Linked DNA regions of Oreochromis niloticus. The protein of the gene in region 2 purifies or fractionates together with the protein of the main gene of each other region. This does not show direct contact. Links are inferred from orthologs where the notes say so. Each region holds a gene or a part of one and is shown on either strand. Other genes may lie near its edges. The genes, in order: rab10 and rilpl1.

Region 1 (16,563 bases), on a different chromosome or scaffold from region 2:
ATCATTATCCTCTTACACTTTAAATGTGAAGGGTAGGTGATTCATCAGTTTCATTTTTAGCCAACAAGTGGTGTTTTCCTACTAAATACTGAGCTGTCAGTACTGCTCTTGGTCAGACGTTGTGGTTGGTTAAAAAGTCCAAGAAACAGCTGTGCTCTAGGTGGGGCAAGTTTATAGAATAATGAGGAAACTGCCTGCCAAAACCTGAGTCATGAAATATTATGCACATCCCAAGGAGAGAAAGATACAGTTGGACAGAAAGAAAGGCTAGCATTTAACGCTGGTAAAAGAGGGAGCTTTTTCTACACAACAAAAGTTAAGCTCTTGAAGTCAGCCTCAACAGGGATGACGTGTTACTAGTGAGGAGAGTAAACACAGAAGTTCACTCTTTTTACTCTGTGAAGGGGAAAAAAAGAGAAAGAAACAAGTTATGCGCATTGTGCAATCACGGATCATTTATCCAATCAGTGGAAAAACAGTTATACCTATCCTGTAAAGAATGACACTTTCCATGAGATGTGACTGTTGAGCTGGACGCAAGCGGTTTATGGTCGGCTTTCTTTCTTAATACCAGAGGAACCATTCCTTCCACAAGTATGAAAGCCACTGTCTGCTTCTGCCAGTTTCCGCGCAAAATTCATCAAATGGAAAAAGATTTCAGTCGATACTATGCATATTCACTCACTTAATAAGCGTAATGTGTAAGGGAGGGGCTGAGAGACGGACTGGAAGCAGGAATGAGTGATGGAAGAGAGCAGGGGGGGTTTCCAGTGGGGGTATTTTGAGAAACAGCTGTGAATCTGTGTCTCCAATGGTATGAGTCCTGTGTCAGAGGAAGAACACATTCCCATTTCATGTCCTGCTTCTGCCGTTGGGAGTTTTGTTCCTTTCAGCTTTTTAGTTTAGGTGTTTATTAACTAGTAAATCTGGCCCCTTTAGTGGAGGATTTCCTAAATGTAACCGAGAGAAATTTTATGGCTTCTCTGGAATGTTATATATAAAGCTACTCTGGAAAAGCTTTTGTCAACCTTATCTCATATCTTGTAAGCATTATATCAAATTAAAGGCCATTTTATCTGTTGCTTAATGTAGTGATACGGTTTAAAAAAAAGAATAAACATCACTATTTTTCGAAGATCGCGAGAAGTCAAATTCTAGTATTTAATTAGCTTGTTTCTTTGTGCTAATGAGCTGTTGCACAGGTACAGTTAACACATGTAGCTTTCCAACCAAGCTTGCTAGGCATTAGCTGATATGTTAGGTAACAGAGCTATCAAACTAACTTAACTCCTGGCTCCAAAAAAACAACATGGTGGCAGCCAAAACACTAACACTGAAGCTTCAAAACGCTAAGTCCAAAACTAGAGAGTAACATCCTGGTGAATAGCTCCTTCAATAGTTTTTGACCACTGTCTGGTAGGATATAAGCTGTGGATCCAATGTAAAGTTGTCTCCCACCAACCACTTAAACAACAAAAATAGAAGAATGCACTACTGACAACCACAGATCAGGCTGGTAAAGTATGTGTGGCGCAGTGAGAATAGATGATATTGTACAAGCAGAAAAAAAAAAAAAAAAAAAAAAAGGAAAAAATTGTGTAAAACTTCTTCAAAAATTAGGTGCGGTGCATAAGCCACCAGGTAAAGCTAGCATGTCAGGTCTGCCACAGTGGCACTGGTACTGAACAAGAAACTGACAGTTTCTAGTGAATACTGAAAACTATTTCTGCTTGATAAGCTCATCCCCAACCTCAAACCACTCTTAGGTGACTGTACAGTTGTGGCAGGGTTGTCACATGCTAGTGGTTTCATTGGACCCCATTTTCATGTTCAAACCTAGCCTCTTGACTAGAGGCATGACAGTTCTGAAAATGAGATTGAAATCATATACAAACATCCACAATTTAATATTGTGGCTTCCTGTACTGTGATATCCATGTGAAACTGATGAAGCATACTAGTCTGGTGAAAGCAGTACAGATTGTTCAGGTGATGAGTGAATTGCAAATACAGTCTAATTTTTGTTCATGTTCAAGTGATTGTGTTTTCCTTGTTGTTCATACATTCCTTATAAAACCCGAGGCACAGACTGAACCATTGTTTTGGTTACACACCTACTCTTTAAACATTTGCAAGTCTGTGTTGGATTAGATATGTATAAATGTGCCTACATAGATATATATTCCAGAGACATTTATACTGCACAGTTTTGATGTATCACCATAGACAAGACAAGATTATTTAAAATAAATAAAAACAAAGGTATCTATCTACTGTTGTCTTCTTTTAACTGTCTTAGCATTGATTTATCCCCCCCCCACCCCACCCCCGCATTTTGTCTGCAACTTTTAAAAAAAAAAACAAAAAAAACCAGCTTCTTTTTAACAATGTTTGGGTTTCTAACCTTAAAAATACAGTAATTTTTACAGTATCCAGTATGTATTTAACCTTTACATACAAGTTATTGGTATCTTGTAATTATATGATTCGCTAGAACATTATCAACTGTACTGATTGAAATAATCTTAAAAGTATAGTTTTACAGATTTGCTTTGATAACCATATACACCACTCTACGTACAGATTACGTGACTGGAGAAAGATGACATGTTCTACATACAATTTTTACAGCTTATCACACTGCATGCGGCTTTGTTTTGAATACAGATGTAGAACAAAGACAAGAGACGAGCCAAGAGCTTTCAAGCGCACGAACTATGCTGCAGTTTTATAGAGGACTCTGTTCTTTGATTTTCAAGTATTTCCTCTTAAGTTTCAAGTTGACAGATCATAACAAACTGAACACTCTAAAACGATCACTTCCTAAACTAAACTGACCACAGTCAGTGTTGTCAACACTTTCTTTTCAAGCACTTGTGACTGATCACGTTGATACTTTAAATACCTTCATAACCAACATAGTTTGTTCCCATGTAATTACACAGAGAGGTTAAAGCTCCAGCAACACTTGCAATATACAGAACTACTTTATTATCTGACTGATGCATTTTGGCTTGTGAACTTTGACCTTCATGAGGGACAACACATTCTGACTTTTTGTTCTTATCCATGCACCTTGGAAGTAGGTGAAGCTGTGCCAGATAACACTACTCTGTTTTTATGAACTACACAGAAACTGGGTATGTTTCGGGGTTTCCTGCCTCAAAAGGGACCTTTAAGGGCGATGACTACATCTGCACACAGTTAAAGCATCAAGTCTGTATTTACATTCCCATTTAGTTATGGCCATTTGATAAACAAATATGTATTTTATGCTTGAGTAAAAGAAACACCACATAAATAAACTGAAAGGTACTTTCATTCCAACCCTATTGATTTTTAGTTTTGATGATGATATCTTTTTTTTTTTTTTTTTTTAATTTGGAGGAAAATCCCTTGAGTTTAAGGTGTGAATACCTCCAGCACCATTTTAACACATTATCCTCAGCTGCTTCACATGGAGGAGAGTACACAGAGTATATAGAATATATTTAAGAAAGCAAATAAAGCACTGGTAGCTGATTTAAAAACATAAAAGTACTGACTTACTACCCATCTTGCCAGGAAAGCACCTATGCAAGGAGCAAAGGTCACTACCGGTCTCTACGTGCTGAAGAACCTGTTAGTCTGGACCACTTTTTCCCCTTCATCCAACTAACACTACACATTTCTTCCCTTAAGTGACACAGATCTGATATGGTGGCTTTGACTCAAATAAAACACATAGGCCTAAATCTTGTTCTAACTGACTGCATGCTGAGAAACAACATGGGGTGTAATAAAACAAACACCCTGCAAGTCAAAGCAAAACTAAAGGAATGACAAAAACAATAAAACGAGTACATGTGACATGAAGATTTACAACAGAGTGACAGGTCAGTGCTCTAGCTGAACAAATCTAATCTAGCCTGGATGCCAGTGAGAATACATTTTCCCTTTACAGTTGTGTGCTTTCGGCTATATAGCGACAAAGAGCACGGCTTCAGATGAAAGCTCAGTCCATGAATCAAGCACATAACACCAGCACATTGCAGTCGAGCAAAGCACGTTTTATATTACATTATTACTCATCGCTAATCTTAAGCAACAGGAGTAAATGGAGCCTTTACTTGGGCCATGCAGGGACTTGACATAGTTTGACACTTGACTCATGTGAGCGTGATGTTTGGCGCATGCGTGAACAGGACGGATGGGGGGGGGGTGATGATGATGCCATCATGATGAATTCTTTATGGTTCTCACTGGAGCACTTGAGCAAAGTAAATAAGTATATTTACTCAAGTATTTAGAATACAAACTATAAGCACTTCTAATTTTAAAAAGAAATTGCAATTTTCAGCTGCTTTTATACAGTTAGATTCACTATAGTCAGAGTTTTCACCTAAAACGTCAATTTCTTACATGATATAATCAAGTTCCCAATACGAGAATGTCCAAGTTGATTAAACAGCTTCACCTCCATTACTATTAGCGGGGACAACAATCTGAAGCATGAATCCTGTCCTTATCTTCAACGTCATGCTGCTCTGTTGTATCTTAATTGCCGCTTGGGGATAAATAAAGTCTTTCTGATTCTGATACCCATGAAACCATGAACCCGTGAATAATCACACCTTCAACTTGTGATAATCAAGTAAAATTTTGCTTTTACAATCAAGCATTTCTTGTTGCTTCAAATCAAAACACTCATACATTTGTTGCCTTTAGGGTGTAATTCCTGACAAGGACTGTGCAATAAACCTATATAGGCTGATACTGAGAAGTAAACACCTGTCACTTAAATAGACAGGCGATTTTTTTCTAGTGCAGCACGGCCCTGTGGTGCTACTAGCCTTGCTAGCTTCTTAGCCTCTGGGTCAAGTAAACTGACAGCAAATTTGGAGACTTAACGGGCTGTAATCATTGCTGCCCAGTTAAACCAAACCAAGAAATAATGATAGCGTTTTGTTATTAAAGTCGCAATCATGTGAAAATAATGTGCAAGTGATGGTTTAGTAAGAGCTCATAAAGGCTGCACAACTAGCTTCCCAGCTAACCTGTACAGGCCTTAGAGAGAGCTGCTGCATGCTCATAGCACACTAGCCACCAACAAATCCGTCCTGCATACAGCCTCCAGCTGCAGGGTACGACCAGACGAGCCTCACAGCTGTCACACTACCTCCGGCGGATGCAGAAGGGTCAACGAAATCACCTGTTACAACGCCCGTGATCTTCTTACCTATGGTGGAGATGAAGGTTGTGTTGAAGGCGTCGTCAGAGAAGCGGAACAGCACACAGGTCTTCCCCACGCCCGAGTCGCCGATCAGAAGCAGCTTGAACAGCAAGTCGTACGTCTTCTTCGCCATTGAAGAATCAGTTTGTGTTCACCCCGATAGATACAAAAACCGATACCCTAGAGTATGCCTATGTGAAGTCTAAAGCCAGCTCCTTGGCCAACCTGACCAACAACTGTCCTCTTGGCTGTTAACAGTTAACAAACTGTGGATTTGTTGATTAGCTTTGGCAAGCTAGTTGGCTAAACACCACCCAAAATAATGTGCCTGTAGAGTCGTCCTAGAAGTTCTAGATTCCCAAACCCGACCGTGGTACCCCCCCTTACAGCATGAGAGCAAAAACAGGATCTCCTTCTGTGTGATACCTCTTTTTCACTCTTTCTTTTCTCCCACACAGTCGGGACAAAATGGCTCCTCTCTCGCACTCTACCCCGATTCACTCTTTCTTCAAACTAACGGCGAGCTAATTCAAATTCTCGGCACACCCCGTCATTCCAGAGCCCTGGGACAAGCTCGACCGAGAAGAAACTGGGAAAAATCACGACATGAAAGTGCGCCGAATCTGCTGTCTGTTCCAAGTAATTTCGCTTTTTTTTTTCTGTAGAGATTAGACCGAAATACAGACGACCGCCGTCGCCTTCGAATGGGAGCCACCGCGGCGACACCCTAGACTTTTTGGCACGCCTTCTCCCGCCCTTTCTGTCAAAATTCACGGCTCTGATTGGTCATTTCAGCTGTCGCTCCTTCAAGCGCCCTAATCTGAATGGCTATCCAAACAGGCATTGTAGCGGTAAAAAGGGGGCGTGTCTTAGCCTGACAGAAAGGGCAAATGTTACTGTGTAACATACGCTGACATTTAGGCTCAAAGCACCGCTTATATCTCACTGTGAAATCCCGCTAGTGACCCAAAATGGCGACGAGTTTCATGCGGATCTCTTGTAGCCGGGGTGTGTTTCAGCTTTCATGGCAAGCTGGCAGTTGGTGCGGTGACTATCCCAGCTGTGAGTCAGGCAAAGTGATGTCATATATAAGTACTTCTGTGCTTGTTACGGGCGTTTCCCACATCCTCTGCTCTGTGAAGTGCAAGGTCACTGATCCTCTAAAGTCTTGTAATAAGTATACACACCGAGAGACAGTCTGCATGTACACATAACTGCTGTAGGGCCTTTTAGAGTTGGCTTTGTGTGTATGTGAGAAAGAAGGAGAGGGACTCTTTCCTTCTTCCGCCTGTCAGAGTTGTTTGACTCTCAGACACTCCTTAGGAATGCTGAGTATGCCCTGCTTTCCACTGCCAAGTACAGACTTGACGCAAACTGGGGAAGAAAGATATGAAGAGAGAAAAAGAAGTCAGAGAAAAAGAAAGTTTGAGCGGGGCTAAATAGTCTATACTGCCACTCCAGCAACTCTACGTCTGCTACAGAGAGCTGTCACAATGCCACCAGAGTACTGAACAAACTGAAATTTGACCACATTGTGGTGCTAGATGAAAAGCCTGGAGTTAAAAGTTCCTCGCCACATTGCAGTGGACCAAAGTCAACAAAGCTTCATCGCTCCCTTTACTTTTTATGTGCCAGCCAACCACAGATCTTCCTCAGGCAAACACCCACGGGAAAGAAAAGAGTTATCCACTATATGGAAAATTAAGAAAAGACACACATGCTCAAACCTGCAGTCAATAAGATACAAAGTGATTCATTAAAGTAATAAAGTATAGGGACTATAATGAAAGCTTATATACTTTAAGTGATGCAGTGAATACACACATTGTTGTTATGATCTGTTTACTTAAATCCATGAATTCCTGCACAGTTACAGGATCCATGATTTTTCCTGTCCGGAAATGGGGAATCATTTATCTCAGATTTTCTTTATGTGTCACTTGCTAAATTAGAACATTTTTTTAATACTAAATGAATCACTGCATTCTTCCTCCACTGTTAGGAAATCTTTTTCACTCTAATAAATCAACACAGAAATTCTTTCAGGGGCCCTCGGGGTTTGCCTCGCACGAACAACAACTCTCAAATTTCTTCCTTCTGCCTGTGATAAAAAAAATTAAAACGCTCTATTGGGGACGTATTTATTTTGTAGCTTAGATGAAGAAGATATGCAAGTTGATTCAGGCCTCAAACTGTTTGGCTTGGAACACTTTGATTTTTTGCGCACTGGTGCTGAAACAACTACTTGATTTACCTATTCTACTTTAACTACTGACTTTATCTACTGCTCTGATTTTATCTACTGTTCTGATTTTATCTACTGTTTTCATTTTTGATTTTAAACACTGTTTTGTTTGTTTGTTTGTTTGTTTGTTTGTTTGTTTGTCTTAATCAATTTTAGATCATGCTTTTTATTTGTTTTTGTTTTTAATGTCTCTGTAAAGCACTTTGAATCACCTTGTTGTTGAATTGTGCTATATAAATAAACTTGCCTTGCCTTGCCTTGCCTTGCCTATTTTGGTCCAACAATAAACTTCAGAAACCTCATTTATTCAGTAGAAACCCATAAATTCTTGATATATTAATGGGTTTTTATTTTTATTTTAAATCAGCTGCTTAGCATTTTTATAATACAAATTACCCGCAATCGCATCCAGATATTTACTTCACACATAGCTGGATAGTCTGTGGTGAGCTTGAAAAAGCCTTGGCTGTGAGTGACTCATGAAAGGTGACACCGGGATCACCTGAGCCGGGGGAATTTTCACTACTATTATGTGTTATTTTCATCAGTTCAGTACATTTACTTATTATTGCTTCTCCGGGCACATTAAACACATCTCAGTGCTCAGTGAGGTGTTGAGTCATTTGTGTCCATTAGCTTTCCCACCGTGTGTTGAATTCCCCATGTGGGGATTTGGGCATGTGATTTTCACCTTTTTGTCAGCGAACACGGGGGTTGGGGGAAGTAGTTGAATGTAAGTTTCGGTAGTTTTCCAGAGAATCGCTCCGAAATCACCTACAACGTCACCTCCTCCATTACACCTGGAAAGACTACTCACGTGAGTCCTCTCGACCTACTTGGGTGACTTTTAACGACACACTTGATCCAGCAGAGGGCGCTAATGTGTTGCACTTGAATGCTCTTAGATGAGTTTTAAAATGATTCATTTTACATTTTCCCTCCTTGCCCTAAATTTTTGTTGCTTTGGGACAACAGTTGTATACAAACTGGAGTTCTCTCTTCAATAGATGAGTCATGAATTTGGGAAATTACTCCGTTTCTTGTGTAGCCATTTAAATATGAGTTATACTTCCCGGATTCATCCAAATCAGAAGGAAATTATTTTTTCTTTGACATAACTCGGGGATCTAGTGACTATACTTACACAGCGCAGAGTCACCTTTCTGGCACATTGTTTTTTTAAATAATTAACTTTTTTTTTACATAAAACATTTAATTAATTCAGGTTTTGTTGTTCACGCTTAGTTATTTGCAGCACAAACAGAAGAACAAACGTAATTATTGCTTATATATTTTTAAAATAATTTCTGCACATATGGGTCCTGTTTTAATTATGTTTTTATTGATACTGTACAGGATTAGATCATAATTCTTTATACTCTTTAATTAATTTTTTTTTATGATGTCACTATAAAAAAATGTACTAGTCTTTTTTAACATTACTCTAGGTGAAAGTAAGAGTATGTAATTGATAATAGGCCTTATGACTGTCTGAAAACTGAAAACCACTTTCCAACAGATCCCGGTCTTTACTGTAGGTGTGGACCTTTGCAGTGTCTTTGCTGTAGTTAATGTTGCATTCTGAAAAATGCTGCATAATCCCCTTGACAGATGCATCTATTTTTTTTCTTGAAAGCCACTGGACAAAAGTCAGATTTTAAGAAAAGCGTCTGTCACACAGTGTTGACTTGAGAATACGTGGCTCATTAGAGGAGGGATGGTGCTTTTATTTTCCTTTTGGAGCAAAATCAATCAATCAAAAATAAACTACAATAATATTCTCTGTATTTTTCTTGCAACAAATCTATTTCCACTAAAGTATCCAGTGCCACTCCTGTTTGATCACATCACCTTTTTATTGTGTTTTTGTGCAGTGACAGTGTGGCTTCTTGAATATCTTCTGTCTCTATTATTGTGAGAATAGAGGTAATTGAGGTAATTGCACAGAAGCAGGAAATAACCCAGCTGACCCTTCAGTGATCCAGTAAATACAGACTCCTGCTGGGTAACCAAGAACTCTTCAAGGGCCAAAGCTTTATTTTAATTTTAGAGGAGATCCCATGTTTCTTTTATTTTCCTACAGTTTGAAAATAAACAGCTAGATGAACTTTTCTTTATGACAACATCCAGTGTGTAATGAGAGGGTTGTGTTTAATTTTCCCAAGCTTAATGCACTTAAATGGGAAGCTGTGTGGGCTAAATGTCGGTGCGAGGGCTATAATAATACATATGAACTATAATTTTAAGAAAATGTTTCAAATTATGGGGGCATCCACTGTGTAAACAAACACGCAAACGGTCCAGTTTAAATTCCCAGCTGTACAAACCATCCATGACCATTTAACGAGTTGGTGGCAGCCTTGGACAAGAATCGAGTCTTTGGCGAGGCAAAACTCTATTTCCCATGATTCTTTGTTCCACTCCGCAGTGATGTGGGGTGTGGTGGTGGTTGAATGACTGTGTATGTGGGTTTGGGGTGGGAGGGGGGTGTACAAGAGGGAAGCTCTGTCTCTCCGGACGGACCGAGAGCTGCAAATCCACCTCGGAGCATCTCTGCGCGGAGGACGGGAGGATGCGTACAGCGGTCTGCCTCGGAGCTGCACGCCGAGGACGATATGAGTGTGATGTCTGAACTGATTTGTGTCATTACCGGCGTTGTTGGATCTTTTCTTTTTTCATCGGACTGCAATGGAGCGTCGATCCAAAGCGTGAGAGGTGCTGATCGTCCGTCTGCTTGTAGGCTCATTCACGCACAATAAGCCAAGGAAACTGGCTGTTACACACAGTGGCAATTCATCATCTGTATTGGTAAATATCTGAGTCTATGCTATTTGGCACTGTGGCTGTTTTCCATTGTGATATGACCAAGAAGCCATAATGATTTTTTTTTTTTTGAATGAATGATTTAAAGAAACACATGCAGTTAACAGACGGGATATATGCTCATTAAGGGCTTCAGAGGGCTTTGTGGACTTAGATAATACACATTTACCCTTTTTGTTGTTTGCAACGAGTAACAGAAGCCAGTCATGTCAAAGAACAAGAGCAGTGAGTCAGTGAAGGTGGTAGTTCGATGCCGCCCTTTGAGCCGGAAAGAGGAGTCCAATGGGCCTGCAGGGGGAATAGTGCAGATGGATCTACGGCTGGGACAGGTAATCCTCAGAAACCCTCGTGCACCACCAAGCGAGCCCCAGAAAACATTCACATTTGATGCAGTGTATGATGCAAACTCCAAACAGCGAGAGCTGTATGACGAGAGCGTGCGGCCGCTGATAGATTCAGTGCTGGGAGGGTTTAATGGCACCATATTTGCCTATGGGCAGACAGGAACTGGGAAGACATACACCATGCAGGGAGCGTGGCTGGACCCAGAGAGACGAGGTGTGATTCCCAATGCCTTTGACCATATCTTCACACACATCTCCCGCTCCCAATCTGACAAGCAATACCTAGTGCGGGCGTCCTACCTCGAGATCTACCGAGAGGAGATTCGGGATCTTCTTGACCCCAATCACGGCAATGCTAGAGCCCTGGAGCTCAGAGAGAATCCAGAGACTGGTGTGTATGTTCAAGATCTCACATCCTGTGTCTGCAAGAGCATCAAGGAGATTGAGGAGGTGATGAATGTGGGCAATCAGGCGAGGGCGGTTGGGGCAACAGACATGAATGAACATTCGTCCAGGTCCCACGCTTTGTTTTTGATCACTGTGGAGTGCAGTCAGCCTGGGCCAGATGGGAGGAAACATATCCGGGTTGGACGCCTTAACTTGGTGGACCTGGCTGGCAGCGAGCGGCAAACCAAGACCGGCGTTCAGGGCGAGCGCCTGAAAGAGGCCGCCAAGATCAACCTTTCCCTGTCAGCACTGGGAAATGTTATCTCCGCTTTGGCAGATGGGCGCAGCGGACATGTGCCGTACCGGGACTCCAAGCTTACCCGGCTGTTACAGGACTCTTTGGGCGGGAATGCTAAGACTGTTATGGTTGCCACACTTGGCCCGGCCCCCCAGCACTACGACGAGACTCTCACAACCCTTCGGTACGCCAACCGGGCCAAGAACATCCAGAACCAGCCCAGAGTCAACGAGGACCCCAAGGATGCTCTGTTGCGGGAGTTCCAGATGGAGATTGCTCGCCTCAGGGCCCAGCTCAACCACAGGAAGTGGAGGAGCAAACAGAAGAGTGAGCAGGTGGAGGACGAGAGCTGGGACGGAGACCAGGAGAAAGAGATTGAGGACGAAGAGGACGAGGAGGTCGAGAAGGAGGGAGAGGACTACGTGAAGCTGGAGGAGCAACGGCTAGAGAGCGAGAAGGAGGCCATTAGAGGAGACCAGGACTTGATGGCTGACGAGAAGCAGAAACTGCTGGGAGAGAAAGAGAGGATGATGGTGGATCTGAGGAAGGAGCAGGAAGCCACAGAACAGCTGACCGCCAAGTACAAGGTGAGTCCAACCAGGTGGTTTACTTGTTTTTTTTTAATCTTCTTGTCTTTCTTTGTTCCTTATTTGCTTTCTTTCTTCTTTTATCCATTCCAGACAAACACACACAAAAGACAAATTGAATAGTACATTCTGAGGCCATAAAAGAAGAGAGCAGGAGATTAAACAGTGAGAACAAAAACTAGAAACAAATGGTGAAAAGTGTAGAGAGATGCCAAAACTCCATAGGTGATGTTAGATGGTGCTACACATTGTATTGGTGCAGAAATTCTCTGGATTAAATTAAAAGTACTAGAAATAAAACAAATTTATTGGAAAAGTTAGTGGTTAAAGAATTAAAAATCACAAAAGAGACATTTAATAAGGTCCAATAAAACACTTCCTATTCATTTATTTTGGACTTTAAGATCTATTTTGTTAAAATATACATGTAATTGATCTTTTCTCCCTGATAATGTTAGCAGAAGCTTTTTGATATTGTACAGTGATGATTTCTGAGAGTGGACTGGCGACTTGCCCAGGGTGTATGCCTCAGTAACAGCTGGGCTAGGCTCCAGTGTCCCGGTGACTCTTAAGTGGATAAGCGGTTAAGAAAATGCATTGATCGATGATTTAACAGTTTTATGATTTATTTGAATAAATGTTAAACCCTCTTATTGAATGTCATCTTAATGTTTGTTTTAAAGTAGAAGAAAAGAATCCTCTTATTTTAGGTTTGACGTTTTATTCCAGAGGGCCATACTCTCTCTGAAAAAGGACATCTAAAGTCAAACATGACACACATGGTGCTGAAGTATGGTATTCAGTTAATTTGGTGGACATGACAGATTGTTTTACAGGCCTGAATACCCAAAGACTCGCTGGAGACACACTTCTTGAGATTCATTAACACAGTGTTGGATTTGATTGATTTTTCTCTGTGGTTGTTGGATTGAGATGGTGCGCAGGCTGATTCGGACCGAGGGTCGTATTTTGCCCACGTCTCCTTGGACCCTTACTCTAATCCCAAATATCATAACTAAAGGCCAAACTCTGACCTTAACCTACACTAAAATGTAATCTGAAAGTTTTAACCATACAAACATCCATCTGCAGCTGTGCTTCAGAGTAAATGTGCTAGCTAACCTTTACAAAGTGTTCTTATTAGTGGCCCAGTGGTGTAGTACATAATTCAGTACATTTAGTACATAATTTAGTGTGGTACATAATTCCCCCTAGGGATCAATAAAGTATTCTGATTCTGGTTCTGATTCTGATTCTCTAGTGTAGCATTTTACACCTTTGCCTAACAAGCAAAGGATCCAGTTCCCTTTGGGGTTGCATCAGGAAGACCATCTCTTCTTCTACAAATGTTGTCACCACTACTACTGGTTTGAGTGTTCTATTAGAGTTAAATTAGATTAATTGACTAATATATAAAAACATGAATATCAAATGAATTGGTCATTGTATTGTTTTTTTTTTTTAATTAAAGGAACTGATTAAGCCCCAGTCTGTTTAATTGCTGCACTATCAGCACTCTGTATTGCTGTACTCTACCATAGTTTGTGTTTATTATCCTCAGGTTTGTTTTAAACGTTTACTGCTAATCTGATTGCTTATAAGGTATAGAACCAGTGCAGTCTCACAGCAGTTTATGAAATAGTCATTAAAATTAATATTTTATACTTTTAAAGGGCTAAAGGTTTGGATGCTGAAGGGTTGGTATTGTGGTGAATCATTTCACTGCTCATACACTGCAGACCACAGTTTGGTTAGGCAATATAAATACTGTTTTGGGTTTAGAAAAAAATCATGGTTTGGGTTTAAATACAGTTGTTACCCTCTTTCAAAGCTATTCTTTTCGGTTGCTATGGAGATCTATACTCTCTAATGTGTCAACATATGTGCTGCACACAGGAACAGGTACTCCTGCTTCCTCCCACAGTCAAAAGACACCTATGTTAGGTTAACTGGTGGTTGTGAGTGTGAATGGTTGTCTGTCTGTCTTAGCACTGCACCCCGCTGCCTTCCTGTCAATGACAGCTCGAGTAGGCTCCAGCCCTTTCATGACCCTGAGTTGGATTGGTGGTTAAGAAGACTGATGGATGAACACTTTCAAAATAGTGCTGACTGTCACAAAAAAATTAATGTCTGTCAGATTGTCTGTCAGTGCACAGATACAAATGGGTTGCTTTTTTGTGATTATTTCAATTTTTGTGATGAGACTGAGCTGCTAGGACTCTTATGCTGCTCTGTATGCTGCATTGTAAAAGCTGGTTTGTAGTCTGAGTACACAGTCAGCTTGTTAACGCCTCAATGTGACCTTCAAAGACACAGATTAGTGTACTCATACTCTGCAGTCTGTATTTTGAATGTGCCAGTATGATGGTTTCACTTGAAATACAAACATTTCTACAGTTATTTGCTCTGATATTGCTGATTAGACTCCTACAGCTATAGCTGCTGTTACTATAGTTTTTTCCTTCTCAGACTACACTTACAAAACCAGTCAGATCTCTTTAAATCTTCATTTAGGACTATTAATAGCTGTGCATAGATGTGTTTTCCCACATAGCACCCTGTATCCACAGTTTGGTCTGATGTCTCTCATATGTCCCGACAGGCACTGGAGCCACTGAAGCTTAAAATGTCAGCTCTCTCTTTGCTATAATCACACACGCCATCACACAGCCTGCAATCAAAGACTGAGTCAGAGCTGCATTAATTAGTTGCTCTGATTCATGGGCATATCCAGTCAATAAGTCACTCGTGCAGAATGACTGAATGACTCACTCTATAATACTTTAGCTGCAGTCTCCCGACCATCCAACACGAGACACTGGCAGATCGGCTTACTGATCAGCCCGAGGGCATGGAGTAAGGAGACGAGAGGAGGACAAAGACATTTTCAGTGTTTCTTCTAGGGGAGCAATAGAAGGGCAGTATGATGTATGAAAACCCTTCTCAACTGTTATCAGTTTGTGATATTCTGTGTATTCTAGGAGTAATATTAATGGTGTTTTTTGAATTTTTGATGTTTCCACTTTCTCTCAGCCTACTAGAGATCCTCTAAAAGCTCCCACAGCAGGGGTGTTAACTTGATGCATTCAGTAGTGGGTTAAAAAATATTCAGTGTAGGCGGAAAGAGAGCAGTAAGAGCGGTAGCAGCAATTGGAGAAGTGTAATAACAGAGAAAGAAAGGGTTTTTACAGATTTACAAAGGTTATAATTATCCTCAAGAATCCAAACAAAACTGATGTGCATGGACAAATTGATCCATTTTACCTATATGTGGATTTCTTCCATGTAGGCAAAGCAGCTAAAGTCAATATATGACAACTTAATATCCATATTGTTGCAAACATGGGTAAAAAACATAAAGAGTTGCTAATATATTGGAATATAGGCAAACGTAATTTTGAATAGTTGTTACCGCACATTGTCACCCAGTGGTGGCTCTTAAATTAAAGAAAATCTTATTGAGTGAAAGATTTTTTTGAACCAAAGGGTTTGTATTATCGTCCAGTTTCAAAAATAAACCATAGACTACATACAGAAGACTGAAAGAGCCACTGTAACAGTAATGTAATTAGAAAGATTCGTATCTAATGTCCAGGTTTTGAAGACCTAATTTGTAAAAAAAAAAAGTGTTTTTAGGGAGACAACAATGTGATGGAAAAGCTGACACGCTAACACTAAAAAGCTAATCGCAAATATATATCTACAGTGTTATGCGATTAAGCACACATTACCTTGTATCTATTACTCCTGTACACAGGGCCACCATCAAAGGGGGGCCAGGGGGGCACTTGTATTGTGTCACTTTGTATGTTCCTCGTGATTTCCCGCCGTCACCGACCTCCCCTCCCCTCCCCTCCAACCCTGCACCTGAGCCTGCAAGTGCGCTCACACGCACAGACAGAAGGTTGTTAGCACACCCCAACATTTTAGTGCCCTCTATATAGCCATCCCTATGAAAACATTGTGGAGGCACCCCTGCCATCACAACACAGATGCTTCTGCTTCTTTTAGGCATCTCAGTGCATTCCTTCACATGTTTTGGCTTCTGTCACGTCCACAGCTATTCCGTCCCATTATTATCTGTTATTGTTGCCCAAAAACACCTGTCTGTTATGTGTGCTTTTACAGTGTTTTTCTATTTACTGGTGTTTTTGTAAGTTGCAGTGTGTTTGACCGCTCAGGATCACTGTACATTATGGCCATTTCCATCTGAGTTTTTGGAGTGAAACCATTCTTGAATTAGAGGGTGGAGCTAGCTTAATTAGCCATATTATTGTAAATCCATTGCAATGCAATGAAAGGCACCAACAGCAGAAAAAACAGTCAAGATGTAAGTTTAGTGACTCAAATTATTGCAGATCGAACCCAAAAGACAGCTAGCAAAAAGGAATAGGTGTAAATGTGTTCTAATATAAATTATCCTGTCCATACAGCCCAAGATTTCGCCTTGTTGAGTTGCTAATTAAATTTTCTATGTTTTTTTCATGTGGAAAACATCTCAGCGCTTATGCAAATTTGAAGCAGAATGTATTTCCAGAGTTTTATTTCATGGACTCAGCTGGACAAGCTCAAAACGAAAAATCCTTGAAATTGGCAGAAACAGCCAGAGTGCTTATACTCCACTTTAAGCGCAGAGTAAACATGTTCATTTTTGCCTCGTTTCTACT
Region 2 (16,475 bases):
ACTTCCTGTCCCCGAGCCTGAGCACTGGCCTCTAGCTCAACCTTCTGTTCAATGAGAGCTTTCCCTTGAGCTTCTACCACAGAGATTTTATGGCGCAGGTCATGGTTGATTTTCATAAGTCGAGACTGTTGCTGCTGGAGCTGGAGAAAAAAAGAGAGAGAATGGGCTGCATGGTCTCGCGTAGCATGTTGGAAGCTAGAAGTGTTTCCCGTTTCTCAGAACTGCCACACAGGAGGGAAAAGCCAGCCACCAAAGGTAAGAGCACACATTTTCAGGCAATCTCTCTGAGGAGATATTGATTGTGCTGTACTGGGTGACACACAAACCATTAGTGGGTGTGAGGGGGTTTCTAAAGCCACAGAACAAATGAATGGCTGAATCCATGGACAAGTGAAATAATAGAAATGACTAAAATGGAAATTCACTGTTAGGATCTTAAAATACCTGAGCCTTAGCCATTTCAGAGTGAGAGTGCCTAGGCTGCCTTTCCCAGCATGACATCAAAGGAAACCAAATGAGTGACATCTGACTACTCAACTTCACTGTATATCTAAAGTAAGTTTCACAATGTGGAAAATCTTGGACTAAAGAACATTTTGAAGTCTCACAATGCACATTATTTTTCTACCTACCCATGCGTACAGAATCACATGACTCCTGAAACGTTCAGGAACCTTTACTGTGCGCATGCATCAGCAAAACAACATGATTGGCTAATATGTTTCCTGTTTTGAATGTTTAACTGTAGTATCACATACTATCACATAGTTCTGTGTTGTGTCTTATCTGCCTATCCAAGTTTTTTTTCTTCAGATCTCTAGTAGCTATTTTGGTGTCTCATCTGTTCTCTGCTGTCTCTCATCCTGCTCACAGTAAACAGGCCGGTTATAACAAGAATAACTGTTCCCTAAACTGTACTTTTTGGTCATAATTAGATCATTAACCCATGTTAACTATCAATTTACTATACACATAAGCACATGCCTTGGTATTAGTCTTATCTATGATGTTGTATACAGCTGTATTCACAAGCTAAAGTGTGAGCTGCTGTTATTTATATTAGTAATGGTTTAGTTTTCTGACAAAGATTTGGAAAACCAGTAGATCAATAGTAGATTAGCTGACTTGCTAAAGAATCTTCTTCATCAACATCCTGAACTTGAGGCCACAGCATTTTTACGTTCCCTTTATCCACCACCTCATCCAGGACTCATCCATCCTTTTTAAAAAGTGCCTCCATATTCATAGCAGAGCTATGACAAAAGGCCAAAAGATGAGTTCTGTAACCTCTTCTGTAACATGTATAACCTCTGTCACTCTGAGAGAACCAAAAACCTGCATATTTGCATTTTGCACCAATACATTTTGGCATGACTGGAATTACAGATCAACAGATCCAGGGCTTTTCTGAAAAGCCATCTTGTGAAATTCTACATGTTTATTGAAGAAATTTTAGTCCTCTATGTGAGCTTCTGACTCGTTGACCTTTTCCAGATCTATGGCCATGTCTTCAATTTGCTACACAATCCAGACTGGTCTGTAGTGATGTCCTTTGCATGACCTTTACTCTGGCTTGTTCACATTACACTGTCGCGTTTAGGTGGGGTCTCTTTGTTATCTGAAACCTAATCTATACAAAAGAAATACAGCCACACAAAACACATCAAACACCCTGCATCTGATAAAGAGAGACTTTGTAAATTATACATGTAGGCTATTTGTTTTTGAGACTGGTATGATCCACTTCAAAGGTTTGAAGTTCTTTATCAAGATAAAGAACTTAAATTATTTGAGACTTTGCACAAATTATGTAAGAAAATAAACAAATACTTTGCTCATTTCCAGGGTTTCCTAGCCTATGTTGAGGTGGGAAGCTAGAAATTGAAGGTGGGGAACTCGGGCACTCTGATAATCTTAAGATTATTATTTTTTCTGTTCTTTCCCTGAGCTTTTTAACCTTTTTTTAAACAGTAAAACACTGGCAGCAAATATATGTCTCCTCAATACTGAGCCAAAACAGTTGCTGCTCATCTCCATCTAACCAGGCCTCTGTTATATTTAAAATATAGAAAATATCTGAATTCTTTATAATTCACACAGGAAGAAAAAAAACAGCCTCTTCTCATTGAGGCACCAAGTTTGTGTCCTTACTGCTTCTATGTCCTCATTTTTCAGAGTGAGCTCACGGTCCTTGGCTCGAATCTCATCTCTCTGCTTGTCCACCACTTCTTTGAGCTTCTTCATCACCTGCCTCTCCCTTTCTGACATACCTGGAAACGGGTGACAGAGGAAAAAAATTGTCAACCATAAAAATAAACAGGACAGATAGATTTTTCATCTGGGCTGACAGGCAGACGTGAGCTCTGATTTGTGTGTGAGGCTTGCAGGTGTGCTTGTACACTGAAGCTGGTCTGTGCGTCAGGGTGACTGTGGCCTCTGTGTGAGACCACGGAGAAGCCTCTGACGCAGGGATGAGACTGGCTCACCATTAACACAGAGAAGGCTCCCTTTGTTTGTGTTTGTATCTGAGTGTGGTACTGCGTGCACAGCAGAGAGAGATAGAGGGACACACATGAGAAACGTATCGAGGGCAAACGGACAAGCTTCGGACCACACGCGGCACAAACTTTAACTGAATTTCCAGGAAAATCAGCAAAAGACAAGCTGTTTCATGCTCTGCTGTGATGTAAACATTACTAGGTATCAGCAGGTTTCGAGTGGTAGCATGCAGACTCCCAACACTGAAGCAGGAGTCTGTTGTTTGAAATTATTATTAGGCACATGCTCACAGTGTTAGTAAAAAAAAAATTACCCATGTACATGTTTCAGAAATCCGATGGTAACTGCAAAGCTCTTTGTAGGACCAATGCACAACCACACTGTTCCTGAAAAGTGATGGCAATGAGCCTACTTTTGACTCGATTCAATCTTGGTCTCAAAGATTTGCGTATAGGGCAGTAACATTTCTAAACACTTATTAGTGAATAACACATATTAATAATAATGTTTTAAAGCAACTGACTTGTAAGTCATTCACATTCTCAGTCACTTGTAAACTGGTGTGTATCATGAAAAAATATAACACATTTTCTTTTTCTTTTAAGGTAGACAGTACTTTGCTTTGATGGAGCCCCACATCCTCACCCTCATGCCTCTGCAGCTCCTCCTCGCTCATGGGGTCTTTCATGGACATGTTGGTGAGAAGGGTTTTGTTCTCTTCCTGCAGCTGAGCAATCTGGGAGAGCAAATCCTGAGCTTCTCCCCTCCACACATCCTCCACCAGCTCCAACTCCTGCGCTCAGACACATACGCACATACTGTTATGCTGTACATATATCACTACTGATCACATTTGTTATGGCCCAGTAACACTAGAGTAAAAAACTAGGAAGGCCTGATTGCATTGAGATTTTTTGCTGCCTGAGGTTGACTGCAAGGTGATTGTACATAAAAGCAATATTACCAAGCACTTATGTACAGACCTGCTTCCCTGGTTCAAAGGAACCATTTCAAAGCTAACAAGATCACAATTTCAGTGCAAACATTCGCAATAATTTTGGTTGTGTAATGGGAGGATCAACCCATTGCTCCACTTTGGTCCTGACTATCTCAACAAAAACTGGATGGACATAGTTTCTACAAGCATTTATGGTGCCCAGAGGAAGACCGGCATTACAAAACAAAACTGGCACTGCTGTGGTCTTCTGAGTTTTTCCTCTGTGTGGTTTATGCGCATGTGTAAGAAAAAGAAATCTCAACATCTGTAACTTTCAGAATGTACTGCAGTAATTTGCTTTTAAAGAACACAATCGTCAAATCAAAGAGTAATGCGTTAATGACAAAAGCCTATAAAACACAGTCGAACTGTCTTGCTTTAAATTGTGGACAAATTTTGGCAGATACCAAAAACGAAACATCTTCTTCAAGTCAGTCACTCAGACCTTAAATGATTCATATAGCAACTGGAAAACCAGGAACAAACAGGAAACAGGAAGTATGAGTCATTCTGTTCATATTGTTAAAGCAGCCGCATTAACAAGAATGCATAATTTGCTGTTTGTACTTCATTTTTCCAGTGTACCTGTGAATGAATAGGTAAACATCACTATTACTTTAAAAATGTGATGCATGTTTTTCAGATGTGATTCCATATTTAAATCTTTATTATCAATGATATCAGAGGTGACTGTATCCAAATCGTTGTTGGACAGCTAGTTATGATTCTGAGCAAAAGTAAGAGTTACAGTCATCAACAAGAGAGAATTTGAAAGACTTTTTAAGGATTGTAAACATGCAAAATTTGACACATTGGTTGCTACCATGATGGAAGGTACCACGGGAGGCTACGCAGACTGTGCACGGGAGGTGTGGAAATGACAGATTCTGTGGACATGTGCCATTCCACACTGCTCCGAGGCCTGCTGTAATCAGTTTCATTGATTTTAGTGGAAGCTTAGTATGGGAGCATGTGCACTACACATGGGCAACATATGCTACATATTCAGTCATTGGGTTCATGAAAAAAACAAAACAAAAAAAACCCACACAAAGTTTTATTATATACACTGCTGCACAACTCTTACATTAGCTTTTATATACACAAAAGAAAACTGTGCACAGAGCCAATAAACACTACACCACATATTTTCACTGTGGATGTGAGCTTTTCATTTCCATGTGAAAACGGTGCTGGCTTCAAATGGCCTGTGAGTTGCAGCACAAACAGCCTTCTCCACTTTATCACGGTCACGAGACAGTTAATATGTGAACCAGTGGCTCAGTCACTGTCACGAGAAACTGACACACTAACTTTTTTTATAGCGCTGAGCAGTCTGAGTGTCCGGTTTATTTCAAACCCCAAACATAGGATCTACTTTTAGATTCACAAAGATGGAAAATAAATGAAAACATTTAAAGCTCGATGCTTTAATGCACTGCATTTATATTTTACTTGACCATTTCATAATACTTTACATTTAGATTCGAAAGGGAAATGTACTTTTTACTCAATTCCTTTATGTCTGCTAGCTATAGCTACTTTCAGATTATATACAAATATATAATTGCCTTATAAAATACAGCACGTGGTTAAGGATGATTTTTTTTCCTTTCATGGTGTATGAATACATTTTTACTCCATAAATTGTTTTTAGTGGCTCTTGAACCATTGGAAAAAGAAACCCATTCCTAGACATTTCTAAAGTTTACCCAACTCCTACACCAATGAATATGAATTAATAATTTATACTCACCTCACTACCACACTGGATGAATCTACATCTAGATTTAGAATAAGCACTATCTGTATGTAAAGTCATTTCAACCACTGGAGCTCCACCTCGACCAACTTCAGCCACAGACTGTATTTAAAACTGGACATAATGATCAAGGATTTGATCTGACAGGAGTGCTTGATGATACTACGTACAGCCATACTGTGACACTGTATTCATACAATCAAAGTAAGCCTCACCCCAAACCTGATTTGTCATTTTTACTTTAAATATTACTAGAATTTACTAAATTAACATCATCTGTTATTAAATGAGACTTGAAAAAGGCAATTCAGATCATAAGTTCACAAAGTAAGTGTTTGCCAAGATCATAAATCATGTCAGAAACAGGATCACTTTATCGTAGACTTCTTTCCAATCTAACTTAAGTTTGAAACCAGAGTCACTGCCCCCTGCTATCTATTAAAAAAAGTAAAGGTTTAGAAATTTCACCTCCTGCTTCACTTCTTAGAGCTTATGTCCACCATTTATTCTGGCTGAAACACAAAAATGCTACTTACTATGGCTGCAGCTATGATGTTTTAATTTTTTGACTATTTTGTGCATTTCTATTTAGTGTTATACATTAATAATGTGCACTAAAAGCATTTTATACATGTTTTACTTCAGTACTTGCTTTTATTTAAATATAATGAAAAAAGGCTCTTTTAGCAGGTTATCCTTCCTGTTATAGGATTTTTACTTAAGTAATTGTTACCACTATCCACGTGCCTTGTAATGCTTTTATAGATATTTTACTGTTTGTTGTGTTCTTTTGTTTTTTCTATGGTTGAGTGCAAAATATTACTATACAACATTGACTGTAATGGATCATATTAATACTCTGTGTACTTGTGTGTGTGTGTGTGTGGGGGGGGGGGTGTTGTTGTTGTTGTTGTTGTTGTTCAACTTATTTAACATTGTTTAGCATCCAAAACTTTCTTGTGCCTGATTCATTTTAGAGTAGAGTGACACTTACTACTTTGACTCGGGTCACATTATAAATGCAGGACATTTTACTGTGGTATTAGTATCGTCTTAGGAAGACGATCTGAACACGTCCTGACCTACACGGATCAAAAACATAGTATGACAGTCACTGACAAATTAAATCTTGATTTCCACTTTTATTCTGTAGAGCAGAGAGTGATTGGCTCTGTGGCTGTGCAGTGTGAGACCTTTCTGTGCCTCTTCTCCTTCTCCAGCCGGTCTATGCGCTCCAGACGCAGCTTGTCCAGCTCCAGCCTCAGCTCTTCGGTCTCCGGGCTGATGCTGCTGCGACTCACCATCACCTCCAGGATCTCCAGGACCCGCACCACTTTGGGCATGAGCCTAGACAGAGCCTCGCAGCCATACTGGTCTATGATCCGCTCAAACTCCTGCCCCACCACTGCGGCGATGTCATACACGTCCATCACCGTGAGGTCAGCCACATTTTTCTCCAGGGCCGACCCGAAGTCCTCCATGTCGAGATATTTTGTCCCTCCCCGGTTTCCTATTATGTTCCCTTCGCCGCAACAAACTTCCTCCCCCGTGAAGAACAAGCCTGCTAAGTTACGCTTTATGTCCTCAGCTTGATAAGCGGTGTCCAGAGACTCCTTAAAGCAGCATATAACACTGAAACTATTGCGTATCCATCACTAGCGGCTCAGTCCAGCCTTCCGTTTGATTTTTTTGAGATACATATCGCCTAAGTCCCATCGCTGTCCTGCTGGAGCTGCGGTGCCCCTGTAAGCTAGCAGCTACCGCTGTCAACCACTACAAAAGTAAACTTCACAATTTCGGCAGCACGTTTCAAAATAAAACCCGCAAGGAGAAAGATATTCCAACCTCTTCTCATATATTTATAATTGAGATGTTTTAACTAATGCAAAGCAAAGCAATGTGCTTTTTAACAAATAAAAACAAGATTCCAAAACGTTACTTTTAAGTAAAGATGTAAAAACCATTTAATTCTATTCTTATACAACGAAAAGTAAAGGCTCATTCATTAGAGTAACATTAGAAGCACACTTATCATCGACTCCTGTATATCAAAATGAGCCTTTCCAAAATTAAATAGCTTCCAGCTGAACACGAAGAAACAACTGCTATGACTTTATGGTCAAAACATCTGTGTATGGTGTTGAAGAAAGATCAACAGAATCTTAACACGGGGCCGAGTCATCCTTTCAGGTAATACCTGAAAGCGACGCCTTAAGAACTTCTTATTTAAAATGGTGGCCTGGCAAAAGGGAGTGTGGGTAAGGCTAAAATTAAATATGAAACACTGAAAGCGCCTACCTTAGAAAATTTCAACATACCCCGAAGTAACACGTGGTGAAACGCTGATATATTTTGCATCACCATGTCATTAGTAATACCATGGTATGGTGATGGTATAGTAATACCATCACTTTTTGCATGTGCTGTTCATGAGGGCCCATGACCTACTGTATCCACTGCTGTTCTTATGCAGATCAATAGTCTTATCTCAATGGACAAAACAATAATTTAACAGTGCATCAGGTTTATACAGAGTACCAGTTGTGATTACACTGTTGCCTTGTACCGTTTATTAGTGCTTTTATTTTGAATATGATGAAGTCGAACGCCGGTTGCCTTTCCCTAACTTTACTTCCTGTTTGGTCCCTGCGTGAATCACAGTGGCTACTTCCATAGTGGTGAGGTTGCAGTTTGTATTGCGCATGACTGAAATAAGAGACGGACGAGGTTGCTGTGTGAATATATTACAGCACGAAGAGACGATTAACGCCTAAAACAACGCATCACGTACCTAGAGTCTACCTAGAGTCTTTGAACATTTAATGAATCACTGACAACAGAAATAACAGAACTACATTCATATTTACTGACGTCATATTATATGCATTGTAACACTGGGTTATAATAACAATAATAGGAACAATGATATATAAAGAAATATTTCTAAATGTTAACAAAGAAGAAAAAACAAACCAGCAATCTAAACATTTAGATTTGTAAATTTTCTGTCAACAAATCTGTTGACAAATTGTCCCAGGTTTACTTTACACCAGACACTCATACTGAAGTCAGTTAAATGTATATATGAAGATCTTGCTGTGAGGCAACAGTGCTAACCACCGTGTTGCCCATTTCTACAGTCTTTGGGGGAGCTGAAATTAGCTGAGGCTAAGAAGGATATGTGTTTTGCGGAAAGAGTTAGAGAACTGGATTAACTCTGCTACTTGAGGGCTTGAGTGGCTGAGGACCAGGAAGGGTCATTGTGCAGGTAAGCAAGTTTCTGGAAAGTCCTTCACCTTATAGGTGCTAGATTCTGGTGATAAGCAGCTGATGGTGCATTCAGATTTCCTCGGAGCAGCATGAAGAGAACAGGAGAGGTTTGGCACAGACTGGCAACAAGGTAACAAAGTTAGTCAATGTAAAGCAGAGACATAGCAAAGACAATCTGGCAGAGATCTGCTACACCATCCAGCCCTCAGGTATGAGAAGGACAATCTAAATAGAAGAACACAGGCGAACTCACAGAGCCCACTTCCACCTAGAACTCAAAGCGACTTTTACAAAGTGAGAGAGGAACAGAAAATAAACACAAAAACATCAGACCCTGTACAGACCACTGACAACTATGTTGAGAAATGAAGATTGAAATGTGGGGAGAGGTCAAACTGTGGATTTTTGAGAAATATAAGAACAGGTTATCACTAGCTGGCTACCCTAATGCTAAGATCCTGAAGTGAAGAAGTGAAAAATGACCACTGTGTGTTTATGTAAAAAAAATTTAAGCCCAATAGCAAAAACTGTGACTAACAAAGAAAGGATAAAGCTGAAGCATATGGAAGAGAGAAAAACTAAAAATGAATAACATGCATTCATGCATGGTGAAGCAACCCTTCATCCTCTATGACTATGTTGTACTGAAGTTGAGGCACAGCAACCCCAGACACAGACATATACTGGCCACACACACCAGACATACAGACACAACAATGCACCAAAATACACATCGATCCATGTTGATGTGTATATGAACAGAGGGTGGGTGCTGGGATGTAAAAATTGAGAAGGCGAGAAAGGAGAGTAGGCTCCAGCTGGCTCAGTAGGCACCTCAATTCCCCATAGTACCCTGCCACGCAGTGGGAATAAGTGGGCCTACTGCAACCACATCCCAGGGCATCCCAACATCCAAGGCCAGCAACAAAGAAGATAAGGGTCTCTTTTAAAGAGTGAGGGAGGGATGGCTAAAGTCAAGAGATGTTCATTGGGTGGAAACATACTGCTTTGGTGACAAATTTTATATGCATCTACAGGGTGGGCCATTTATATGGATACACCGTAATAAAATGGGAATGGTTGGTGATATTAAAGTCCTGTTTGTGGCACATTAGTATATGTGAGGGGGCAAACTCCTCAAGATGGGTGGTGACCATGGTGGCCATTTAGAAGTCGGCCATCTTGGATACAACTTTTGTTTTTTCAATAGGAAGAGGGCCATGTGACACATCAAACTTATTGGTAATGTCACAAGAAAAACAATGGTATGCTTGGTTTCAACGTAACTTTATTCTTTAATGAGTTATTTACAAGTTTCTCTTTGTTCACAGCCATTGACATGTCGAAGAGGTTAACACGTGAGGAGCGGATCGAAATTGTGTTGATATCTGGTGAACGCAGTAACCGGGTCATTGCAGCAGATTTCAATGCAAGACAGCCTACGAGACCACCCATCTCCCATGCTACAGTTAGCAAACTGCTTGCTAAGTTTCGTGAAGCTGGTTCAGTCTTGGATTTGGAAATGTGGATGCAAGAAAACTGTCACTAATGAAGAAACATCAGTGGCTGTCCTAGCTTCATTTAGCAAGAGCCCACAGCGTAGCACTCGCTGCATGTCACTGGAGAGTGGCATTAGTCGAACATCCCTTTGGCGGATATTAGCTACTCACAAATGGCACCCTTACAAACTCCAGCTACTGCAGCATCTCAACGAGGATGACCCAGATCGGCGCACAGAATTTGTAGAATGGGCAAAACAAAACTTGGAACAGGACCCTCAGTTCATGCAGAAGATTTTGTTCAGTGATGAGGCAAACTTTTATGTGAATGGTGAAGTTAACAAACATAACCACCGCTATTGGTCTGACACTAACCCACATTGGATGGATCCCTCCAAGACTGTTGGAACAACAAAAGTGATGGTTTGGTGTGGTATATGGGGTACGACGACAGTGGGTCCATTCTTCATCAGTGGAAACCTCAAGGCCACTGGATATTTGAAATTACTACATGATGTGTTTCCCTCTTTATGCACTGAAGCTGGCACGTTCCCGGAGTTTTTCCAGCAAGATGGAAGCAAGATCACCACATTATGGGTGCCAGGTCCGAGCATTCCTAGATGAACAGTTTTCTGGAAAGTGGATTGGTCGTCGTGGGCCAGTTGAATGGCCCCCAAGGTCTCCCGATCTGACCCCCTTAGACTTTAATCTTTGGGGTCATCTGAAGGCAATTGTCTAGGGTGTGAAGATACAAGATGTGCAGCACCTGAAACTACGGATACTGGATGCCTGTGCTGGCATTTCTCCTGCGGTGTTGCTATCAGTGTGTGAAGAGTGGGAGAAGAGGTTGCATTGACAATCTAACACAATGGGCAGCACATTGAACACATTTTATAAGTGGTCAGAAACTTGTAAATAACTCATGAAAGAATAAAGTTATGTTGAAACCAAGCACACCATTGTTTTTCTTGTGACATTACCAATAAGTTTGATGTGTCACATGGCCCTCTTCCTATTGAAAAAACAAAAGTTGTATCCAAGATGGCCGACTTCTAAATGGCCACCATGGTCACCACCCATCTTGAGGAGTTTGCCCCCTCACATATACTAATGTGCCACAAACAGGACTTTAATATCGCCAACCATTCCCATTTTATTACGGTGTATCCATATAAATGGCCCACCCTATAGAATGAAAGTGTTAAGTCCAGAATGACACCCAGGTGGCAAATTTCTGGGCATAGCCAGATGGTGCAACAGTCTACATCAATGAATAGTCTAATCTTCCAGATTAGGGCCATGGGAGCTGCAACCAAGAGCCGTTTTATTAGTGTTGAGCTTAAGTTAATACGTCTCTCTACATAAACAAATTTTGTCAGTGTTCTCAACAATGGCATTCACATAGCATTTGGGAGTTTATAAGCAGGTGGCAGCACCTGTTGGTGTGCCTCAGTATCAGTGGCAGCAGACACTTGGCCCTCAGCATCTGCTACCACTCTTTTCCTTGGTAGGAGGGGTTTAGGTGACTAGATGCTTTATAGCATAAATTGGTCCAACACATGAATATGAGTGAGACTGTTCATGTTTGATAGACACCATACCTGAGAATGTTTAATTTCTGTGGTAGGAATATGAGCATAAGATGTGGTTGCAGGTGAGGGAATAAGTGTTAAAGCTTCCTGTGCACATCCCCACTTACATGCAACTTCCAAAGCTTGAAGCAGTAGATGAAAACCAGCAACAAGGAGTTACATTGCTGGCTCACCAGTGTTAGGGAATGCCTCTGATACCAGCCTTATAAGTTCTGCAGCATATACTCCTCCTGATTGGATATGCCTGGATAACGTAGCCTTCGTGGTGGAAGCTGTTGTGCCACCAAACATTTTTGAAGATTGTTAATGTCTGACACTCATCCAGTGCTGTTGTCGTTAATGTTAAAATGGTTAAAATATTGTGAATAGAAAACCTAAAGAAAACTGAACAATACAGCTTTATTTCAGACAATTTTCTAATCTTTAATCAATCACAGATAATATAGCCATCAGTGTTATAATTCAAATATTACCATTTAATTACCAAATTTAAAGCACAAAGAAATGTTGATTTGAAATTCCTCTTACACAACATTTTCAGGAGCCTTAACAAGTGATACATGTAGTAAAAGTCAGTGTTTCCAAAATATGAAAGCATTTTTTTTTTTTCCTCTAGTGAGTGATTAGCTTAAATCTTTAAGTCAGATTCTTCTTCAGTCAGCTTCAAGATTCTCCTGTTCCATGTTCACCCCGTTTGAACTGCCAATAGAAGAAAAACAGGACTCATGTAAACACCACCTACTCCAATTAGCTTTGGGATGAGATGATTATAAAACTTTAGCAAGAGAAGCACTCACCGCATTCTTCAGCAAGTTCCCAGATTTGGTAAAGATATTTGGTTTTTTTAGGCTTAGTTTGTGGTGTTGCTCTGTGCTGTTATGTGAGGCAGCCTGGGTCTGTTTAGGCTGAGCAGGACTGGATGTGGGTTGTGAGGGTTGTGACAATGAATAAGATTGAGGATTTAAGTTACTTTGGTTTGGAGTGTAGGGCTGAGATGGTGTGAAAGGCTGAGGCGGGATATAGGGCTGGTAAGGCGTGTATGATTGAGAAGGCGTGTATGATTGAGAAGACGTGTAGGTTTGAGAAGGTGTGTAGGTTTGAGAAGGTGTGTAAGACTGTGGCAGAGAGGAGGACTGTGTTTGATTCGGTGCAAAGGGATTTGACTGTGAAAAACCTGGGGTGTTTGAATAAGGTTGTGTCTGTGCAAAGGACTGAGGCACTGCCGTGGAGTCAAGCAGAGTAGGTGGTGGCGGTGGTGGGAAGCTATCAATTCCATCCCCTCCATCCTCTGACACACCAAGCTCATAGTGCCTCTTCCTCAGTTCCCCCAAACGTACTCGCTCCTGTTCCAGCTGGCTCTCCAGCTGCAGCACCTTAACCTGAAAGATTCAAAGAGCACAAGATCTGGCAATGGCTTCCAGACGTCTAAAAACCCAATGACCCAGTCAGTTAAGATCCAGTCTAAGATCCAAAACTTTTTTTCTTTTTTTTTTTTAAACTACATTGATTTCACATAGTCACAATACTGTTTCTTTAAAGGTGGCTCAACTTGTCTTATACTTGTCTTACACATGATCCAGGACAACAAGCAAGTTGCACATAAGGACAAACAATTAAACAATCCATTCAGAGACATGTTGTTCTGACCTGAGCTTCCATTTCTTCTTTTTTAAGCTTGATCAGAGACATGCCGGAGAAGTCCATCAACCCTGTAAAGGCAACAATATCAGTTGGAGTGTCAAAGCTGTATCATGCAAGAGGTGAATCACAGAATGATCAGCCAATTTCATGGTTACTTTAAGCATTTAAACATTTTGATTAGTCTGTTTGATTTTATGGTCAACTGCTGCTGATCAAACTCACTAATGAGATAGAGGAACAAAAACCCCTCACAAGCCTTAAAGCTGTATGCTAGCTCAGCTATGCTATGCTCATTGGTAGACAGGTTGGCTCGCTGTTAAACACAGTTAAGTATTAAGCAGCAGAAAGTGTCAGAAATAAGAGACCAAAAAAAGGGCTAAAGTAAGTGTTAAACTTGCACTCACCAAATTGTATAGATTTATTGTTTGCTTACATGCATGCTGCCATTTTTAGACAAAACTATGCTGTTATCATAAAGTTTTACTAAAAATATGAAGCATCAACTATTTGCTTGCAATATGAGCTTCTCTTCTCACCGTGGTCAGAGATCTGCTGCTGCCCATGTTTGGTGGAGGTGACAACCACAGCAGCCATGTCATTTACATGCCTTGAGGCCTGCTGCAGCGTATTCAGCTTCTTGTTGTTGCGGTCAGCTTTCACCTGGAATGAGTAGCAGTACTTAAGTTTGTCTTCCATAAGGACAGTTTTTTGCAATGTGGTGCATGTATGGGCACAGAGCAGGCACATTTCAAAGGATGTAACTCGGTGACCATGCTGGCTGAGGTGGTTCTAAGTACTTACACAGTCACAGAGCTGTATGCATGTTTTGTCTTTGTTCTAGGTTTTAATGTAATAATGGCTATTACTACCTCTTTGAGACTCAGTCACTGAAGTGCAGTTTCCCTTTAAACCTGAAAGGCTTAAAAGGGAAACTTCACTTCATAAAAAAACATGTCTTTTTGGTTTTATTGAGAAATCAAATTTGGAAAGTAACTAGTAACTTCCACTGTCACATAAACGCAAAAAGACTAAGAAGAATCCAATTCCAGCCAAAATGTAGCAAAGCAACTATCATCAATGCGCAACTGTGCATTTTTCACGGGACAGTAGTGAATCTGTTTTATTCCTTGGTGTACTTGCTTGAAAAAAACAAAACATCAAACAAACCAATTCATATTTGTATTTATAGAAAACAGACAGGAAGGCAATTCTACATTTTAGTAGCTTCACCATAATGCAAAAACAGCCTTCTCTTCATTCAGCTATAAAGATTGAGAAGAACACTCAGTAATGACAATTTTGAGGACCACATCTGTGTGTAGAATAATTTCAGAGAAAACCTGTAGCTACTTGAGGATGGTTTGGACAGAGTTAAAGATGTAGTGGAGAGTGACCTATTGACCCCCAAACATCCATCTGAAGGTGTAAAAAGAACTGTTATTGAACATTGGCATATTTAACCTAGTAACGTAAAATAGCCTTTAATAGATCTCTTTTGTTAAGAAATTTCCTAAGAACCAGACAGATATATGAATCAGGGTGGAACACCAAGTAATGCTGTGGATAAGCAGATACTTTTTCCCCCCCTTTCTTTTCATGCTTTGTATGACGTTCTTTCACTTGAATGTAGAGCATTGCACACATTCTTTTATCACCTTTATGTTCTATGTTTCTAACATTGTGCTTAATGACACTGTGTTGTCAATTGGCATTTGGAGCCCATTTGACATATATGTATGCCACTATCAGCTGCTTTAACTTGCACTGACAACAGTTTATTGCTGATACGTGTCCAATTCTTTTTTGCCCTTTGATAAATATAGTGAAGTACAGGGCTGTGATAAGTATTTGCCCCGTCCCAATTTCCTATTTTCTGATTATTTCTCAGGTTTCAGATCAAATCCATTTTAATATTAGACAACAATAATCCACGTAGATACAAAAAGGAGTTTTTAAATGGTGATTTAGCTTATTAAGTGAAAAAGTTACTAAAACCCATCTCGCCCATCTATGTGAAAAGTAATTGCCTCCTAAACCTTTTAACTGGTTGTCCCACCCTTGGAAGCAGGAACTACAATTGTTTGTTTGTTGTCAAGTGTTTGTTCACCTGGTAATTTAACCCACATTTCCGTGGAGGCATTTTAGCCCACTCCTCTTGTTTTAGCCACACTGGAGAGTTTTTGTGCATGAACATCATGTTTACAATCATGCCAAAGGAACTCTGTTACATTTAAATTCTTATAATCCATGTTTCTCCTTCAGTGGATCATATGATCCAGCTCACTTTCGTTGTTTGTTAAAAAACAAAAAACAAAACTGAATAGCCTCACTCTTGTCCAGGTACAGACCAAATATAGGTTATCAGTACTTTAACTGTGCTGCAGGTGGCGCCAAACTCCAGACAAAAGAAAAAAAATCCTTAATTAATTATATTAAGTTTGATAGTAACAGCTAGTAACTCATAGTAACATATTTGTGGGCTATATCAGTATCAATAAATTCATTATTTTATCCACGACCATGTTTGCCACACCTACTTTGACATGACATGTATGCAACAATTCAAGTTGAAAATGCTACGATGTTTTTCTAATATTGAGGAGGCTAATTCATATATAACTGAAGTAACTGTACTCTGCTCTCAAAAAAAACAAAAACAAAAAAACAAAACATCTTAGAAACATGATGTCTATCCAGATTCTTATTCTGGATGGCATTACTGTGGCCTTCAGTGACTAAATCTTGGAGTCATTTTTGACCTGGATATATCCTTCAAAATGCATATTAAATATGTAGAAGCAGTTCATGCATTTATTACTTCTAGGTTGGACTACTGTAATTCATTATTATCAGGTTGTTCTAAAAACTCACTGAAAAGCCTTCAGTTGACCCAGAAAAGAGAAAACTGACAGGGACTAGAAAGAGGGAACATATTTCTGCCATTTTGGCTTCTCTTCATTGGCTCCCTGTTAAATCCAGATTTGAGAGCTTCACTCTCAGACTGCTGGTACTCCTGTGGTTCCTTGGATATTTAAAAGTAGACGGGGAAGGAAAGGCCTTCAGCTTTCAGGCCCCTCTTCTGTGGAACCAGCTCCTTTGACCCATTTGACCTCAGTAAATCACACAATAGGGTGGGACTAGGTTTCACACTGGGTTCACCCAAAACCTTGGCTGATTGCGACCCACACCCATTTTCACTCATTGGCTCATGTGAT

The links.
Region 1: the proteins of rilpl1 (region 2) and rab10 purify together in Homo sapiens (co-immunoprecipitation; 3 studies listed by BioGRID and IntAct, with this or other methods). This does not show direct contact. The link is inferred for Oreochromis niloticus from reciprocal best matches to the Homo sapiens genes RILPL1 and RAB10.

Annotation. Positions count from the first base shown.
Region 1 is NC_031980.2:17,350,867-17,367,429, forward strand, and holds the start of rab10 (ras-related protein Rab-10), read right to left. Parts: upstream 5,945-16,563; 5' UTR 5,346-5,944; coding exon 5,219-5,345; intron 1-5,218. Other genes in the region: kif3ca (kinesin-like protein KIF3C), read left to right, coding at 10,487-11,896. UniProt on the Homo sapiens protein: The small GTPases Rab are key regulators of intracellular membrane trafficking, from the formation of transport vesicles to their fusion with membranes.
Region 2 is NC_031972.2:11,430,920-11,447,394, reverse strand, and holds the start of rilpl1 (RILP-like protein 1), read right to left. Parts: upstream 7,043-16,475; 5' UTR 6,740-7,042; coding exon 6,452-6,739; intron 3,293-6,451; coding exon 3,145-3,292; intron 2,271-3,144; coding exon 2,152-2,270; intron 141-2,151; coding exon 1-140. Other genes in the region: hip1r (huntingtin-interacting protein 1-related protein), read right to left, coding at 12,283-12,318, 12,417-12,998, 13,267-13,328, 13,797-13,920. UniProt on the Homo sapiens protein: Plays a role in the regulation of cell shape and polarity. Plays a role in cellular protein transport, including protein transport away from primary cilia.